Linked DNA regions of Elephas maximus indicus. Each later gene encodes a partner of the first gene's protein in a complex. Links are inferred from orthologs where the notes say so. Each region holds a gene or a part of one and is shown in the gene's direction. Other genes may lie near its edges.

The links.
Region 2: DDX46 (region 1) and SF3A2 share a complex: the UniProt entries of both Homo sapiens proteins name them as parts of the 17S U2 SnRNP complex. The link is inferred for Elephas maximus indicus from reciprocal best matches to the Homo sapiens genes DDX46 and SF3A2.

What each region holds. Positions count from the first base shown.
Region 1 is NC_064820.1:147,205,043-147,213,116, forward strand, and holds the start of DDX46 (probable ATP-dependent RNA helicase DDX46), read left to right. Parts: upstream 1-5,054; 5' UTR 5,055-5,283; coding exon 5,284-5,300; intron 5,301-6,732; coding exon 6,733-6,921; intron 6,922-8,074. UniProt on the Homo sapiens protein: Component of the 17S U2 SnRNP complex of the spliceosome, a large ribonucleoprotein complex that removes introns from transcribed pre-mRNAs.
Region 2 is NC_064821.1:2,910,597-2,918,617, forward strand, and holds the start of SF3A2 (splicing factor 3A subunit 2), read left to right. Parts: upstream 1-4,965; 5' UTR 4,966-5,050; intron 5,051-8,021. UniProt on the Homo sapiens protein: Component of the 17S U2 SnRNP complex of the spliceosome, a large ribonucleoprotein complex that removes introns from transcribed pre-mRNAs.

The sequences.
Region 1 (8,074 bases):
CTTTCTTTTATCCCTGGCTGCTTTTAAAATTTTCTCTTTATCTTTGGTTTTGGCAAGTTTGATGATAATATGTCTTGGTGATTTTCTTTTTGGATCAATCTTATATGGGGTTTGATGAGCATCTTGGATAGATATCCTTTTGTCTTTCATGATGTCAGGGAAGTTTTCTGCCAACAGATCTTCAACTATTCTCTCTGTATTTTCTGTTATCCCTCCCTGTTCTCAAACTCCAATCACACGCAAGTTATTCTTCTTGATAGAGTCCCACATGAGTCTTAGGGTTTCTTCATTTTTTTTAATTCTTTTATCTGATTTTTCTTGAACTATATTGGCGTCAATTGCCTTATGCTCCACCTCCCCCACTCTGCATTCCAATTGCTTGGTCTGCTCCTGTGACTTCCTACTGAGTTGTCTAATTCTGTAATTTTACTGTTAATCTTTTGGATTTCTGAATGCTGTCTGTCTGTGGATTCTTGCAGCTTATTAATTTTTCCACTATGTTCTTGAATAATCTTTTTGATTTCTTCAACTGGTTTATCAGCGTGTTCCTTCGCTTTTTCTGTAAATTGCCTTATTTCATTTCTGAGGTCATCCCTGATTCTTGAAGCATTCTGTAAATTAGTTTTTTATATTCTGCATCTGGCAATTCCAGGATTGTATCTTCATTTGGGAAAGATTTTGATTCTTTAATTTGGGGAGTTGTAAAAAAAATTTTTTTTTTTTTTAGAAGCAATCATGGTCCGCTTCTTTATGTGGCTTGATATCGACTGCTGTCTCCGAGCCATCTCTAAGATATTGTAATGATTTATTTTATATTTGCTCACTGAGTCTTATCTTGTTTTGTTTTCTTTCAATATACGTAGATGGGCTACTAGATTGCGCTGTCTTGATTATTGTAGCCTTTGAATCACTTATGTCCTATTACCAGCTGGTTTGGGTTGTTAGCAGATATATAAGCCTAAGAGTCCATTCACTATTCTTGAGTAGAATCTGATTTTGGGTTACCAATTGTGTGGTGTAGACTATCACCTATTCACTTAAAGGAGTAGTGGTGATAGTCGTGTGCACCAGATCCTAGTAGCGGCAGGGGGTCACACTCCAGGGGGGGCAGGATGCTGACAGGCTTCCCCCAAGTGCCATTGAGGTAGGTGTGTCTCTATTCCTAAAGCACTTTGGTGGGTGTGCTCTGCAGCTGTACCTTAGGCACCCAATGCATATACCTCTACAGATTGGGAGGTGTCACTATCCTCAGACCCCTATGGCAGGAGGCTAGGTGGTTTGGGTGGAGCTTCAGCCCTCAGTTCCCCATTGTGGGTCAGTGAAGGCTCTGTTTAATAGGTAGAGATATCAGACCAGGGAAACTTGTCTTTCCAGTAATGGGATAAAACAATTACAGTCAGATCACTATCAGAATTGCCTTTGCATTATAATAGCCACCTTGTTGCCTGTGGGGATGAAAGCCCTAGATCGTGGATCTCATATGCTTGGCTGGAGCTGGTTCTGTGTTTTTATTCCAATTTCAGGAAGTCAGGGAAGGATTTTTGGTCCCTGTTTTTTTTGTAGCTGCTTCTCTCAGGCCAGGAGAATAGGTTAGGAAAAGACAACAAAACAAAAAATTGCAGAGCACTTCACTCTCTGGCCCAGGAAATTCCAATGTTAATGAAGTGGCCTGGGAAGAAGATGGGAGGGATCAGATAGATAGGAGAGAGTAGCACCCAGGAATATAGACCAAGTTACTTATCTTACTTAGTGATGACTGTTTTATCTGAGATTCCGGAGGGGTGTATAGCCTGTGTGTGTTGGCTGGCTGGGTCGAGATTGTCCCAGAGGGTCAGGCCGGTGTCCTGTGCTTGTGCTGTCTCAGAAGCCGTGGTCAGTTCCTCTGCTTCCAGTGCAAAGCCCAGCGCCAAGTTTCCCCAGCTGGGACGACACACTCCAGGCTCCAAAACCAGTCGCTACCTCCCGGTGACTTCTCCTGTCAGCCACGTTGCTGCGCTGCCTGCGTGCACTGGCTGGGCTTCCCCCGAGGTCATTTCTGGGGGCTAGGGCTGCGTCCCGTGTTCGCACCGTCTCAGGATGCCGTGCTAAGCTCTGCTGCGCCCAGTACAAAGCCCAGCGCCAAGGTTTCCTGACTGGGATGCTGGCTCTTGGCTCCGAAAACAGTCTCTGCTTGCTGGTGGTTGCTGGTTCTCTCGTTAGCCGTTGTCAGTGTGCAGCCTGCTTGCGCTGGCTGAGTCTGTCACTCAGGTCAACTCTTTAGATCTGTGTTTGACAGTCAGGGCTTGTAGATTGTCATGTATGTGATCTATTCACTTGCTTTTCTGAGTCTTTGTTGCAAGAGGGATCCTAGGTAGCTTCTACCTAGTCAGCCATCTTGGCCCCGCCTCTTGAAATGTTTTTTGATGATGAATGCAATGCCATTCTTCTTCAAGTTGTCATTCCCAGCGTAGTAGACCATATGATTGTTTGGTTCAAAATGGCCAATACCAGTCCATTTCAGCTCACTAATGCCTAGGCTATTGATGTTAATGAGTTCCATTTCATTTTTGACAACTTCTAATTTTCCTAGATTCATACTTCATAATTCCACGTCCTCATTATTAATGGATGTTCGCAGCTGTTTCTTCTCATTTTGAGTCATGTCACTTCAGCAAATGAAGGTTCCAAAAGCTTGACTCCATCTACATCATTAAGATCAACTACTTTGAAGAGGCAGCTCTGTCCCTTTCACATTTTGAGTGCTTTCCAACCCGAGGGTCTCATCTTCCAGCACGATATGAGACAATGTTCTGCTCTTATTCAAAGGTTTTCACTGGCTAATTCTTTTGAATTTAGCTGGGTCCTTCTTCCTACTTTGTGTTAGTCTGAAAGCTCAGCTGAAACCTGTATGCCATAAGTGGCCCTGTTGGTGTTGAATACTGGTGGCATAGCTTCCAGCATCATGGTGACATGCAAGCCCCCACCATAGGACAAACTGACAGACATATGGGGGACAATCCACAGTAGCTATTGCCAAAAACTGGGAGTCATCTTTATTCCTCCTTTTCCCTCACAGTATACATTCAGTTTATTACGTAGTGTTTTGAGAGCTGCCTCCAGAATATATCCAAAATCTGACCACTTTTCTCTGTCTTTATAGTTTAAGTCAATAGTGGTTTCCTTTTGCTCTTAGACTGAATCCACACTCCTTACCTTCAGTCCACATCCAAGCAATTGTAAACTGTTTCAACTTACAATGTCTCTGATAACCTGACACTCCTTAGTTTCCATCTTGTCACACAATAGTGCAGGCCTTCCTCATCCTTGTCACGGACTGCCAGACCTTCCAGATTCTTCTCACTGTTGCCGGAGATAAGCACTATGCCACGAAGGAAGAGCAGAAACTCATTTTGGAATCTTACCTGTTGGTGTCTTGTTATTTTTAATCACCTTTATTGAGGTAAAATTTACATACTACAAGGTGCACCAATTTCAAGTGAATGAATTTTTACAAGGGAACATATCGATACAACTGATGCCAGAATTATGATACAGAATGTTTCTGTCATTCTTAGGTGTAAGAAAGTATAATAGCCCAGACTCATAAAGCAAGGGACTCTTCCTTAGGGACTCTATGACAGTTTTCTACAGAAACAACTGTTAGTAACAGGTCAGTTTCCTCTAGGCCAGTCATCTTCTACCTTGACTGTACTTTATAATCAACTGTGAAGCTTAAACATTCCCAACGCACAAGAAGCAACTTGGACCAATTACATCAAAATATTGGGATGGATCCCCGGCATCCACACTTTTAAAAAATCTTCTTAGTGCAGCAAATGTTGAGAACCTTTATCATCTTTTGCTAATGTACTTTTCAGCATCTTCTCCTTCAGATCTCACCTCATAGAACACTTCTAAGACATAGGTCCCCAGGTTTCGGAAAATTCCACCACCTGAAGCAGCTTGCTGGCATGCCCATAACCTTACATTAAAATCCTGGTTCCCCTCTTCTTAACAGCTACCCCAAACTAGAAGAGATTGGTGGAAACTGGTTTAGGAGCCATGTTGACATTCAGGATAATCTTTTAGACCCCATACATACTAACTCCTCTGGATGGAGTTTAACCGCCATTTTCTGACGATGCCATGGATGAAGTTATATGCAAACCCCATTGTGCTAGCATAGTATGATTAAAAATGTTGTTGATAGAACTTGTATGAGCTTCCTACTTGTAACCCCCTGAAAAATAACCCTCCCCTCGCCCTCGCTGAGCAGTCTCCGTGGCAGCAACCTGACTCTTCCTTTCCTTGAGCAACCAAATAAAGGCTCCTTTCTACTCTTTCACTTTGGCCTCTCTTTATTGGCTGAGGTGAGTGGTGACAAGCAGAACCTGGGGCTTCTACCGTGCACAATTTCCACAGAGAATTCTTTCCCTGAATCTCTCTTCTATATTAGGTCTTTCCTTGCTGTTACTACCTTTGCTTGTGTTTTTAGTAATGTCTGTTGCCCCACTAGACCATAAGCTCTCCATGTCTGGCACATAATAATACATGTAAATAAATGAATGCATGTGTAAATGGGAAACCCTGGTGGCGTAGTGGTTATGTACTACAGCTGCTAACCAAGAGGTCGGCAGTTGGAATCCGCCAGGCGCTCCTTGGAAACTATGTGGGACAGTTCTACCCTGTCCTATAGGGTTGCTATGAGTCGGAATCGACTCGACGGCAGTGGGTTTGGTTTTTTGGTTTATGTATAAATGAATGATTGTAACATTGTTTTAAAAAAAACCCAGGGCCGTCGAGTCGATTCTGACTCATAGCGACCCTATAACATTGTTTAGCGTGCAGTAAAAACGGGACGATGCAGGACCCGGCAGTGTTCTGTTCTGTTGTAAATAGGGTCGCTATGGGACCTGGGTGTCAGGGACTATGTAGGGAAAACCCAACCCAGCCATTTCTTTTCGGCGCAGCCGGTGCTGTCCCGCCTCCAAGCGAGAGGCGGCGCTGTGGAGATGCAGCAGTTTCCGGCCGGCTTTTCCTTTCCTTCTGCCGCCGGCGCCGGAACTTCCTGCTTTCGTTGGCCGCTCTGGGATGGCCGCCCCCACAGTAGCTGTTGCTATCTCTTAGTGGTGCCGGAACTTCCTGCTTTCGTTGGCCGCGCTGGGATGGCCGCCACCACAGTAGCTGTTGCTAGCTCTTAGTGGTGGCCCTTGCCCGGCTCGCCGACGGCAGTGCAGCTAGCCCTTTTGTTCTCTTCTCCATCGCGCTGTCCCGAAGGGCGTCGGCTTTCCCGCAGCGAGCAGTATGGGCCGGGAGTCACGGTGAGGCAACGCGCCCAGCGGGGGTGCGGGCGAGTGGCTTCTTCGGTGGAGGGAAGAGGCGGGAGTTGAGGTGGCCAAGGGGCCAGGTCTGGTCCAGCGCGGCCCCACGTGCGGCCGGCGCGGTCCCGCGGCTGCTGGTGGGGCTCGGGGCCCTCGGCTGAGGGAATGGCTGTACTTGATCTGGCTACGGGCACAGGAGTCTCCTGCATTATCGTCAGCCGATTCGAGCCCCTGGAACGGGAACAGCCCTCCCGGGTCGACTATGATTGAGCGCCACTTTCACGCAACCAACCTTGATCATTTCAGTCAGTAGTGATCCCTACTGCTTAGGGTTTGCAACATTTCCTAAGCGCCCTTCAGTCTGTATATTCGTTCTCTGTGCGTGTGTGATATTTTCCAAGTCAGTTGCAAGGAGCATGTGCACATTTTTACATAACCTACAACACCGTATAAGACTAAGCTTTAATTGAGCCACAATAAGTACATGTTACATGGGCATTTATTCTGAAAATAGGTTTCATATTTCTCTGTTACCTGGTTTCAAACTTTTTGAAACCGAAGATTGAGAGATCTTGTTAGGACTGTGAGATCTCTTCAGAACTTTAGATTGTTCATAACTGGTTCAGCACCTTGAGATTTTTATCTTAAAGATGACTGTTTGCAATGTGTTTAGCAGTGATTGAAAGAGCTTTTATTTCTAGGGACCATGAGGAGTTTTTTTAAAAATGTTAACTGTACTTTATTGGGGTATAATTATCATTCAGGGAAATATACAAAGCTTAAGGGTAGAGCTTGATGAAATTTAGCAAATATATAAACCATGTAATCATCGCCTGGGTAAGAACAATGTCACTCTGGCCGCCTTGACTTTTTTGCTATTCCTTGAGCACACCAATTAAGCTTCCTCTTCAGGATCTTTGCGCTTACAGTGCCTTTTGCTTTGAAAGTTCTTCTGCCATATATCTGTATGGTTCCTCCTGTTACTTCCTTCAAAGCCTGCATAACAAATGTTACTTTATTATGGAGGCCTTCCGTAACCACCTGATTTAAAATTGCAAACCTCTCAAGTCACATTATCTTTCCTTTTCCTTTACTCCGATCTATTTTTCTTCATAGCAACACTTGACATATTGTACGTTTATTTCTTTACGTGTCTATTAACTCTTCCTCCACCAAATATAAGCAGCCTGTAGCCCAAAGGCAGAGGCTTGGTCTGTTTTCTTCACTTTCCTTGCTTCTCTTTCAACAGTTTTCCTCCTCTCAACATGTGATGTAGCAAAAAGGTTCATTCTTTACCCCCAATTTAAAAAAGGATTGTGAAAAGAATCTTTTCAGTTTTTAATATGTCTGCTGCTATTTTGGAGGGAAATGTAATAAAATAAAATAGACTCTGTGTGAGCTAAGCTTAATATTTGAAGTAATAATATTCTAGCCACTATCGGAAGCGATCAGCATCACGTGGACGCTCTGGAAGTCGATCTAGAAGTCGTTCTCCCTCTGACAAAAGAAGTAAACGTGGAGATGACAGACGGTCTAGAAGTAGAGATAGAGATAGAAGGAGAGAGAGATCTCGTAGCAGGGATAAAAGAAGATCTCGGTCAAGAGACAGGAAGCGTCTGAGGTAAGACATAAATCTCTAAAAAACTGATGATAAATTAAGCTTCTCCAAAAGTGTGTTTTGGGCTAGAATTTAGTAGCTCCTTTGTAGACCCTCTGCTTTAACCCCAGGTTATTTGATTAGACATAGAAGTAATTCAGCTAGACCAAAAATTCTCAGACAGTATTTTAAGTTCGGAAACATCAGGCTGTCTCCTCTCACCCAGAGAGAGCCCTTAAAGGCCCCTGAGAGAGGGGGAAAAAAAAAATAAGGAGAAGGTAAGGTAATATGACTAGAGGATTCAATTTTAATTATATCCCAGCAGAACTGGAAACTGTTCAGAGCAGCCACTAAACCAGGCAGGAGAAAGAAACAGAGGGCAGAGCCATTTCCAAACCCTGCTTGTTATCTTAAAACATTTTAAATAACTCTTAGATTTAAACCAAAGAATGCCTTAATTTTAATTGTCCTTTTACTTGTTGACATGCTCGCTGGCACCAGTTAAGCAGCCTTAAATTTTTCTAGAAGTGAACATCAGTTTAAGTAAAAGTACTCTACCCTACACCAAAGATAACTTTTCTAAAACAGTTTCTCATTAAATCAGAAGGGAAAAAAAGGCAAGTTTGTACAGGTGCTATGAACTAATGACAGAAAGAACCTTGACTTTATCTTTTTCAAACATTTGGAGAAGAGAGTGCAAAGGTAGTACATGGCACTTAGGGAAAATATTCACCCGTGAGAACGTGGTTAATGCTAACTAATTCAGTTTTATATTTGGTCCCAGGAACAGTGTCATACAGTTCAGTCAAGTACACATTAAGTGAAATTGATCATTTAAGATTTGATTTTTGACTTCCTTCTGTGAAGGTTGAATAATGAGATTTTAGGTAAAGAAGGATTTTGAGATGATATAGCGAAGTCATGGTATTTTATAGATGAGGAAGCCAGTACCCAGAGAGATAGCAGAGTCTGCCCTATGTCATGTCGCTAGTTAGTAGCAATGGGTTTTTAAATCTTCAGATCAAGTAGCCCTGGTGGTGGAATGGTTAAGTGCTTGGCTACTAACTGAAAGGTTGCAGTTTGAACCTACGAGCTGCTCCGCGGGAGGAAAGACCTGACAATTTGCTCCTGTAAAGATTATAGCGTAGGAAACCCTATGGGGCAGTTCTACTCTATC
Region 2 (8,021 bases), on another chromosome or scaffold:
AGGCATCACTTTCATCTTACCGACCAGATTAACACCCAAGTACCTGACTGACAAGCCAGGCCTCTGCGTTTTTCCCTCATTCACTGCCCATCCCCGCGACTGGAGGTGCGTGACTACCTCGCCAGCTGCAGTCTGCAAAGAAGCAAAGGAGTCAGAGGTCAGCATGACATCATCAATATTGTGGAATACGGCCACCTCAGCAGGGGGAATCCACTGCTCGAGGTCAGTGGCAACCATGCCATGGCATATGGTAGGGCTATGCAGGTACCCTTGTGGCAGCACAGTGAAGGCCCACTGCCTCGCCTCACAACTGAAGGCAAACTGGTCCTGTCTGTCTGGGTGTAGAAGGATGCTAAGAAAGCATTAGCCAAATCAAGCACAAAGTGGTAAGTGCCCAACGCCTGCCCCATTTGCCCCATCATCTCTGCGCTGTTGAGTACAGCTGCAAACAAGGGGGAGTCACCGTATTCAATTCCCAGTAGTTTACCATCATTCTCCAGGAGCTGTCCGGCTTGTGCATCGGCCAGACAGGACTATCGAAGGGGCTCTTGGCTGGTCTCAGAATCCCCACTGGGTGTAGCACCTGGCCTCAGTGATTTCTCAGTGTCTGCAAGGGAGGCAGTACTGCTTAAGGGCCATGACCAGAGCTGGGGAGTGCAACTGCACAGGGAACCATTTAGCATTACCTTGTACTACAGGTTTTATGGCTCTCACTTGCAGGTAGAACTCACCGGAGGTCTGCAGCTCCAGCCTCAACAAGGTATCTCTGCCCAGAACGTATTCCAGTATTGGGGCTCTGTATACTTGGTAGACCTTTAGGGGTAGCCTTCCAATCTGCAGCACTAGTTTAATTTGGCACACCCTGACAGCCCCACCCCTGTACGCATCAATAGGTGTTAGTGGCCCTTTAAACCTACCTGGGTTATCATACATCAGGATGCACTTTGCTCCAGTGTCTACCAGAGCCAGAACATGTTCGTTAGTGGGGGTCCAGAGTATGATCATTTCAGTGTGTGGCCTCTGGCCCCCTGTCACCCAGCAGATGGTTTCCCGCACCTGTGGTGCACCTTGGCCACACCTCTAGTCTAGGGGTGAGGGAAATTCCCACCCCTTGGCAGAGGGAGCCATAGGATTGGCCTCCTCTTGTGGGCTCTGGTCAGTGCCTTTGTGGAACCCAGATCTTTTGTCAGGAACAATTTTACACCAAAGACGCACATTTTATAGAATAGATAGTTTGATCAAACATACGGCACAAATAAGAAATGCCCTTGCAGGGAACTGCTGCACTGAGACCCCAGACTGCTTGTCTGAGATGCATGGTCCAGGCTGGGGTTGTCTCGTCCCCTCCCATCAGCCATTTAAACCTGTCCATTGAAGTGCTCCTTTGCCCCTACGTCTTGGGGTGATAAAGAGTGTGACGAGTTCATTGAAGATCCAGTGGAAGCCTCTATATGGGATAAAATGCCCTGATATGACTTGCCTGCTGAGAACACCCTGGCCTGTTGGCTCGGGAATCTGTCCCTGCACAGGTTTAGTCTTGGCCAGGGTCTTGTAGGCAGGTCAGATTTTCTGTGTTGTCCAGCGTTTTCTGATGGCAGTGGCAGTCCATGTATGTAGGCCCCGTCTAGGATGGTGTGTGAATCTCCATGGATGGTTCTCTCTTACATCCAGGAGGTGGTTGACTGCACATCTCTTCACCCGGGAGCAGACAATGCTTCAGCCTCTGCAGTCAGCTGGTAAGACCGGTCTGCTCGTTGGCTGTTTTCCACTCTCAGCACAGGGGCTTTTCTGATGACTATCCACACAAGTAACAAAAGTTTCTCAGGAGCAGGACTGCTTTTGTTATTTATTTCGTCCAGATGTCTCATCTCTGTAGGGGATTGCTTTATATGTCAGTCCGAGGGTTTTCAGTGGCCAGATTGAATGGCCAGGCTGTTAGCTATAGCCCATGTCACAGTTTCCTCGTGCCCCTCTAAAAATGGCCCTAACTGCAGCAATTCCCATCAGGACTTGGAGGCAAAAGTCTACAAAGGTGTGCATTAATACATCGACATCATCAGTACATGCAGTAAGGATTTGTAGGGGCTCCAAGGGACTTCTCCATAGTCAGGCTGGGGTAAGTGTCTCAGTGAGAGTGACCTCAGACCCAAAGTATACCTCACTGGACTTTAATTTTAACACAAGGCCTTTGCTCCTCGTTGGTAACAAAGGAATTAGGCTTAATCCTCAATCTTAATTATTTCTGAAAGATCTGGGAAAAGTTGGCAGAGCCCTCACTCATTTATGGGGCCACACCTCCATCACACCAAGTGCAAGCATGGGTCCAGCCCAGTTACCTGGTAACCTGGAGGTGGGCCCCCTCTTTTAGTTTTCCCCTTACTATTGCAGTTACAGCTAGGTTGCTGTTCAGTTACCTTGGTGGGGGCAGCTGTCAGAGAATTCTGAGGTCTCTTCAAGGTCGCTCAACACAAGCTATCCTGACGGGCTTTTTACTCCTGTTTTTTCTTTTTTCCCTGCTGTTTTAACTCTTGCTTTGCACTGGGTGTTACAGGGCGTTCTCAGCGCCAGAGACCTGTTTATCCCCTCCAAGTAGCTCCAGTCCCATGCTCTACCGATTGAGCTAGCCAGGCTTGGCTGGCCACCCCAGGATTTCTCCCACAGAAAAGCATACGGGCCAGACCTCCCCACATAGAGGTCGTTGGCCACCCCAGGATGTCCCCCGAAAATGCCTCTTGCTTCTGCAAACGGGGCACTAATGTTTCAGTGGAGGAGGAGTATGCTGCCCGCAAACCCTCCAGTTGCAGCTCTGCTTCCAGCTGCCTAGTTAGGGCCCTAGCGGCTGGCTCGGGATCGGACGCCCCTCTCAGCGCTGCCAGTAGAAGCCACCCCACACAAGCCGCCTCAGCATGGCCATCTGGCTTTCGCTTTGGGGACTCCAGCTGACACAGCATATCTTCAATGCCCTTAGGCATTTTTGGAGCGTCCCCGTACTCATGCGGTGGGATCCAGGTATCCATAGCCACGACCCCCCCTCCCCGCCACATATATGGAGGACAGGGGCCATCCAGGGATTCCTACCATCAAGGTCCCTCTCCCTGCCATATGTCCAGCACTCATGGAGGTTTCCTCAGTCTCCTGGCTGGCTTGCCAATTGTTGGATAACAACCCAATGGTACCTGAACCCAAGGTTAGCTGCATCTCCAAGAGACCTAGGAAAGACTCTGGAACCAGTGATCATGACATATGTATGGTTTATTTGGGAAGCTTACTTATGGGACCGTGGTTCAGGGCGGCAGCTGGACCAGTTAAGCACCCCGCAACCACCTAGCAAGGGACGGCAGCTGGCCCAGTTCAGTGCTCTGCAACCACCTAGCAAGGAACCCAACCTTATGTACCACTCCAGCTAGGACCAAGGCTCGTTGTTTTTCTCCCACGTTCTTGGGCAGTCTGTGTTCCCAGGGACTTCACGCCCAGGCCCAGATGTTTTCCTTCCTGTTGCTAAGGCATTCCTCATGCTTGGCCGCTGGCCCAGTCATGCCACTCCCACCGTTGTACCTTAGCCTGAGTCCATCCTGAATTCATCCCCAGCATGCTTCGGGGAAGAGCAAAGCTGATTCCATTAGGAGGTATGCATATAGCTGAATAGCATTACCTTACAGCCTTCCATTTTCTTTTGATGGTTCCTGAGTTGTTCAGTGTTTTGCCTACAGTATCCTTCAAGAGAAGCAGATGGTGTGACTTCGTCTCACATTCTTCAAGGATGATATCAGGAGGGACCAGTCCCCAGAGAAGGATATCACGCATGGTAGAGGGTCAGCAAAAAAGAGGAAGACCCTCAACCACATGGAGTGACACAGTGGCTGCAATAATGGGCTCAAGCATAACGACAATCTTTTAATATTCCAACTCAAGGCTTGAATTTTCTCTTCAATTCTTTCAGCTTGAGAAATGCCCAGCATGTTCTTCCCCTAGGTTTTTGCACATTTCATTGTAGTACTTTGCTTTCTCAATCTGACCTTCGAAATCATCTGTTCAGCTCTTTTACTTCATCATTTCTTCCTTTGTCTTTAGCTAGTCCATTCTAGAGAAAACTTCAGAGTCTGTTCTCACATCCATTTTGGTCTTCACTTTCTCTCTTATCTTTTTAGTGACCTCTTGCTTTCTTCATGTAGGACTTCGTTGATGTCGTCCCACAACTCATCTGGACTTTGATCATTAGTGTTCAACACATCAGACCTATTCTTGAGATGGTCTCTACATGCAGATGGAGTGTAAGGAAGGTCATACTCTCATAGGACTTGTTCTAATTTTCTTCACCTTCAACTTGAACTTGCATAGGGGCAATTGGTGGTGTTTTACAGTCCTGGCCTTGTTCTGACTGATGATATTGAGCTTTTCCATCATCTGTTTCCACCACAGATGTAGTCAATTTGAATCCTTTGTATTCGCAGTGGTTAAGCAGTTGGATTCCACCAGCGGCTCTACAAGAGAAAGATGTGGCAGTGTGCTTCGGTAAAGATTACAGCCTTGGAAACCCCTGGGGCAGTTCTACTCAGTCCTGTAGGGTTGATATGAGTCAGGATTAACTAGTTGTCAACGGTGTTTGCTTTAAAGCTTTTGTTTATGGAGGATAAAGAGACAGAGACCCCAAATCCAAAGCCAAGTCCCGGACGCGCCCACCACTGGGCGGAGCCCTCTGCCTCCGCGCCGGCACCCCGCCCCTCCCGCCGAGAGCTCAGCGCAGGAAGCGGAAGTGCGCGTGCGCGGCCGGCAGCCATGATTCGCGGTCGGCCGGCTGGGGCGTGAGGTACGTCTGTGGCGCCGCCGGCGTCCGGCCTGGCCCGGTACCAGGTCCGCGGGGGGGGCCCGCTGGGGTTCCGGATGGTGCCGGGCCGCGGGGCCTCCGTAGCCGGACTTGGCCTGCAGCCTCCCGCTGCCGGCGCTGCCTCTTCTCCGGGGCCTGGGCCTCGGCCGGCGGCGCAGCGAAGCGGCCGCTGTGCTCTCCCAGCCCGGCTGAGGAGTCCCGCGCCCGCCGCGTCGGGACGGCCAGGTAGGGGGGCGAGGCCTAGGTGTGTCGGGGCGTTAATAGGTGAGGCCGTGCGTGGGCGGAGACCAGGGGTGTCCGCGTCGCCGGGAGTCTGTGAGGAATGCGGGGTGACAGGCCCGGGGAGTTAGCCTGTGCGCGCCCCGCTGCCGCCGCCTGAGTGCGCCCCGCACCGGGCTCCGTCGTCCGCCTGCGTCCCCGCCGGCAAGGACTGTTGGGAAGCTCTTGGGGGTTCTCAAGGAAGCGAGGTTGTTGGGAGGCGTCTCCCCCTCCCCTGGTTTGTTAACGGGCTCTGGTGGCGCAGTGGTTACGCGCTCGTCTGCTAACTGAAAGGTCACCAGTTCTAAACCACCACCCTTTGAGCAGAGGAAAGATGGGGCAATCTGTTTCTGTCAAGATTACAGTCTTGGAAACTGTGTGGGGCAGTTGTATCCTACCAGATAGGTTTGCTGTGAGTCAGGATTGACTCCATGGCAGGGGTTTGATTTTTTAATTTTATAGGATTTTGGCATAGATAAAGTAGTAAGAAACACGAATAGAACTAGCAAGTTCATTGTGGACCATAGTTACTCCACTTTAGGTGGAAAATATTTATTGGTGGTGGTGTTAGATGCCGTCGAGTCAATTCTCACTCATACGACCCTATGTACAACAGAACAAAACCCTGCCCAATACTGTGTCATTCTGACAGTCGTCATACTTGAGGCCATTGTTGCAACCACTGTGTAAATCCATCTCATGGAGGGTCTTCCTCTTTTTCTCAGACCCTCTGCTTTACCAAGGAAACCCTGGTAACAGTGGTTAAGAGCTATGGGTGCTAACGAAAAAGGTCGGCAGTTTGAATCCACCAGGCGCTCCTTGGAAACTCTATGGGGCAGTTCTACTCTGTCCTGTAGGGTTGCTATGAGTCGGGATCAGGTTTGGTTTTGGTTTTCTGCTTTACCAAGCATGATGTCGTCTAGTGACTGATCCCTCCTGATAACGTGTCCAAAGTATGTGAGAGGTAGTCTTGCCATCCTTCCTTCTGAAGCACATTCTGGTTGTACTTCTTCCAAGACAGATTTGTTCTTTTGGCTCTCCATGGTGTATTCAGTATCACCAACACAACTCAAAGGCATTGATTATCGTTCTACAGTCTTTGTTATTCACTTACCAGGTTTTGCACGCATATGAAGCAATTGAAAAAACCATGGCTTGGGTCAGGCACACTTTAGTCTTCAAGGTGACATCTTTGTTTTTTTAACAATTTAAAAAGGTCTTCTGCAGCAGATTTTCCTAATGCAGTGTCTTTTGATTTCTTGACAGCCGCTTCTATGGATGTTGATTGTGGACTCAAGTAAAATGAAGTCTTTGACAACTTCAGTCTTTTCTCTATTTATCATGATATTTCCTATAGTCCAGATGTAAGGATTTTTGTTTTCTTTATGTTGAGGTGTAATTCATACTGAAGGCTATGATATTTGGTCTTCATCAGTTTAAGTGCTTCAAGTCGTCTTCACTTTCAGCAAACAAGGTTGTGTCATGTGCATAATGCAGGTTGTTAATAAATCTTCCTCCAATCCTGATGCAATGTCATTCCTCTTCAATTTGTCATTCCCGGCATTGTTAAAGTTTCAAGTTTAGGTTTTGCTTTTGTGAATAGTGCTGCTCTGTTCATTCTTTTTCCGTGCTCTAAATGCACAGTAACTTCCAACTGAGGGAAAACGGCTGAGTTGCAGATCATAGCCAAATTTAAATTGATCAGGAAATTACAGTGTTCTCTACCCATTTTCCCTTCCACAAAATAAGCATATGTATTTTATCTGTTCCATTTGTTTTGGCCAACATGGGGATTCTCAAATATATTAAATTATGCTTTGTAAAGCTTATGAAATCGTATGTTACTTTGAGTTTATTCTGCAGTGATCTTGCACTACTGCAATAGTGACAAGGCTGTGCGTGTTTTCCCACTGTAAATTTGCCATTCTGTGACTTTTTAGGGCTTCGTTATAGAGTTTGGAAAAATATAGTTTCATTGGAAAATTTTTCCCTAGTATGTAACTTATGGTCTTCACTCATTTTTTGCTTCCTTCGATAGAGTCCTAAATTTTAATATAATTGAATTTTCAATCTCTTCCTTTGTGTCTTTTTTTTTCCTCTCTCTACTAATGTCATGAAATTGTGCTTATAATTTCTGAACGTGTTATTTTACATTTTGACATTTAAAGTTAATCTACTTGGAATTTATTTTTGCATGTGGAGTATGGAGGAATACATTCATTGTTCCAGTTAGATAATTAGTTGACTCTACCCCACATATTAAAGTGCCTGAAGTTTCTGGCAGTGCCCTGTAGTGTGCTTCCTCTGTGATTAGACAATTCTTCATATAAGTTGGTGAGCCTGTTCCAGGGCTATGTATTTTTTTCCAATGGATCTATTTGTGTATTCCTATACTGATCCTCCACCACTCATATGAGGGTTTGTCGTACGGTGGTGGCTTGCATGTTGCTGTGATGCTGGCAGCTATTCCACTGATATTTCAAATGCCAGGAGTGTCACCCATGGGGGACAGGTTTCGGGGAGCTTCCAGACTAAGACAGACTAGAAGAAGGAACTGGTAATATACTTTTGAAAAAATCTGGCCAGTGAAAACCTTATAGAACATTGTATAATATACTGCCAGAAAATGAGCCCCTCAGATTGGAGAGCACTCAAAACATGACTTGAGAAGAGCTGACTCCTCAAAGTAGAGTCGACCTTAATGGGGACACTAATTTGCTGATGTGTCAAAACCGAAAATGAAAAGAAACAGCTACAGGCAGCCATTAATAATTAGAATGTGCAATGTATGAAGTATGAATCTAGGAAAATTGGAAGTCGTCAAAAATGAAATGCATAAAGATCGATATCATATGTGTTAGTGAGCGGAAATGGACCAGTATTGGTATTTTTAAGTCAGACAATCACGTGGTCTGCCATGCTGAGAATGACAAAATGA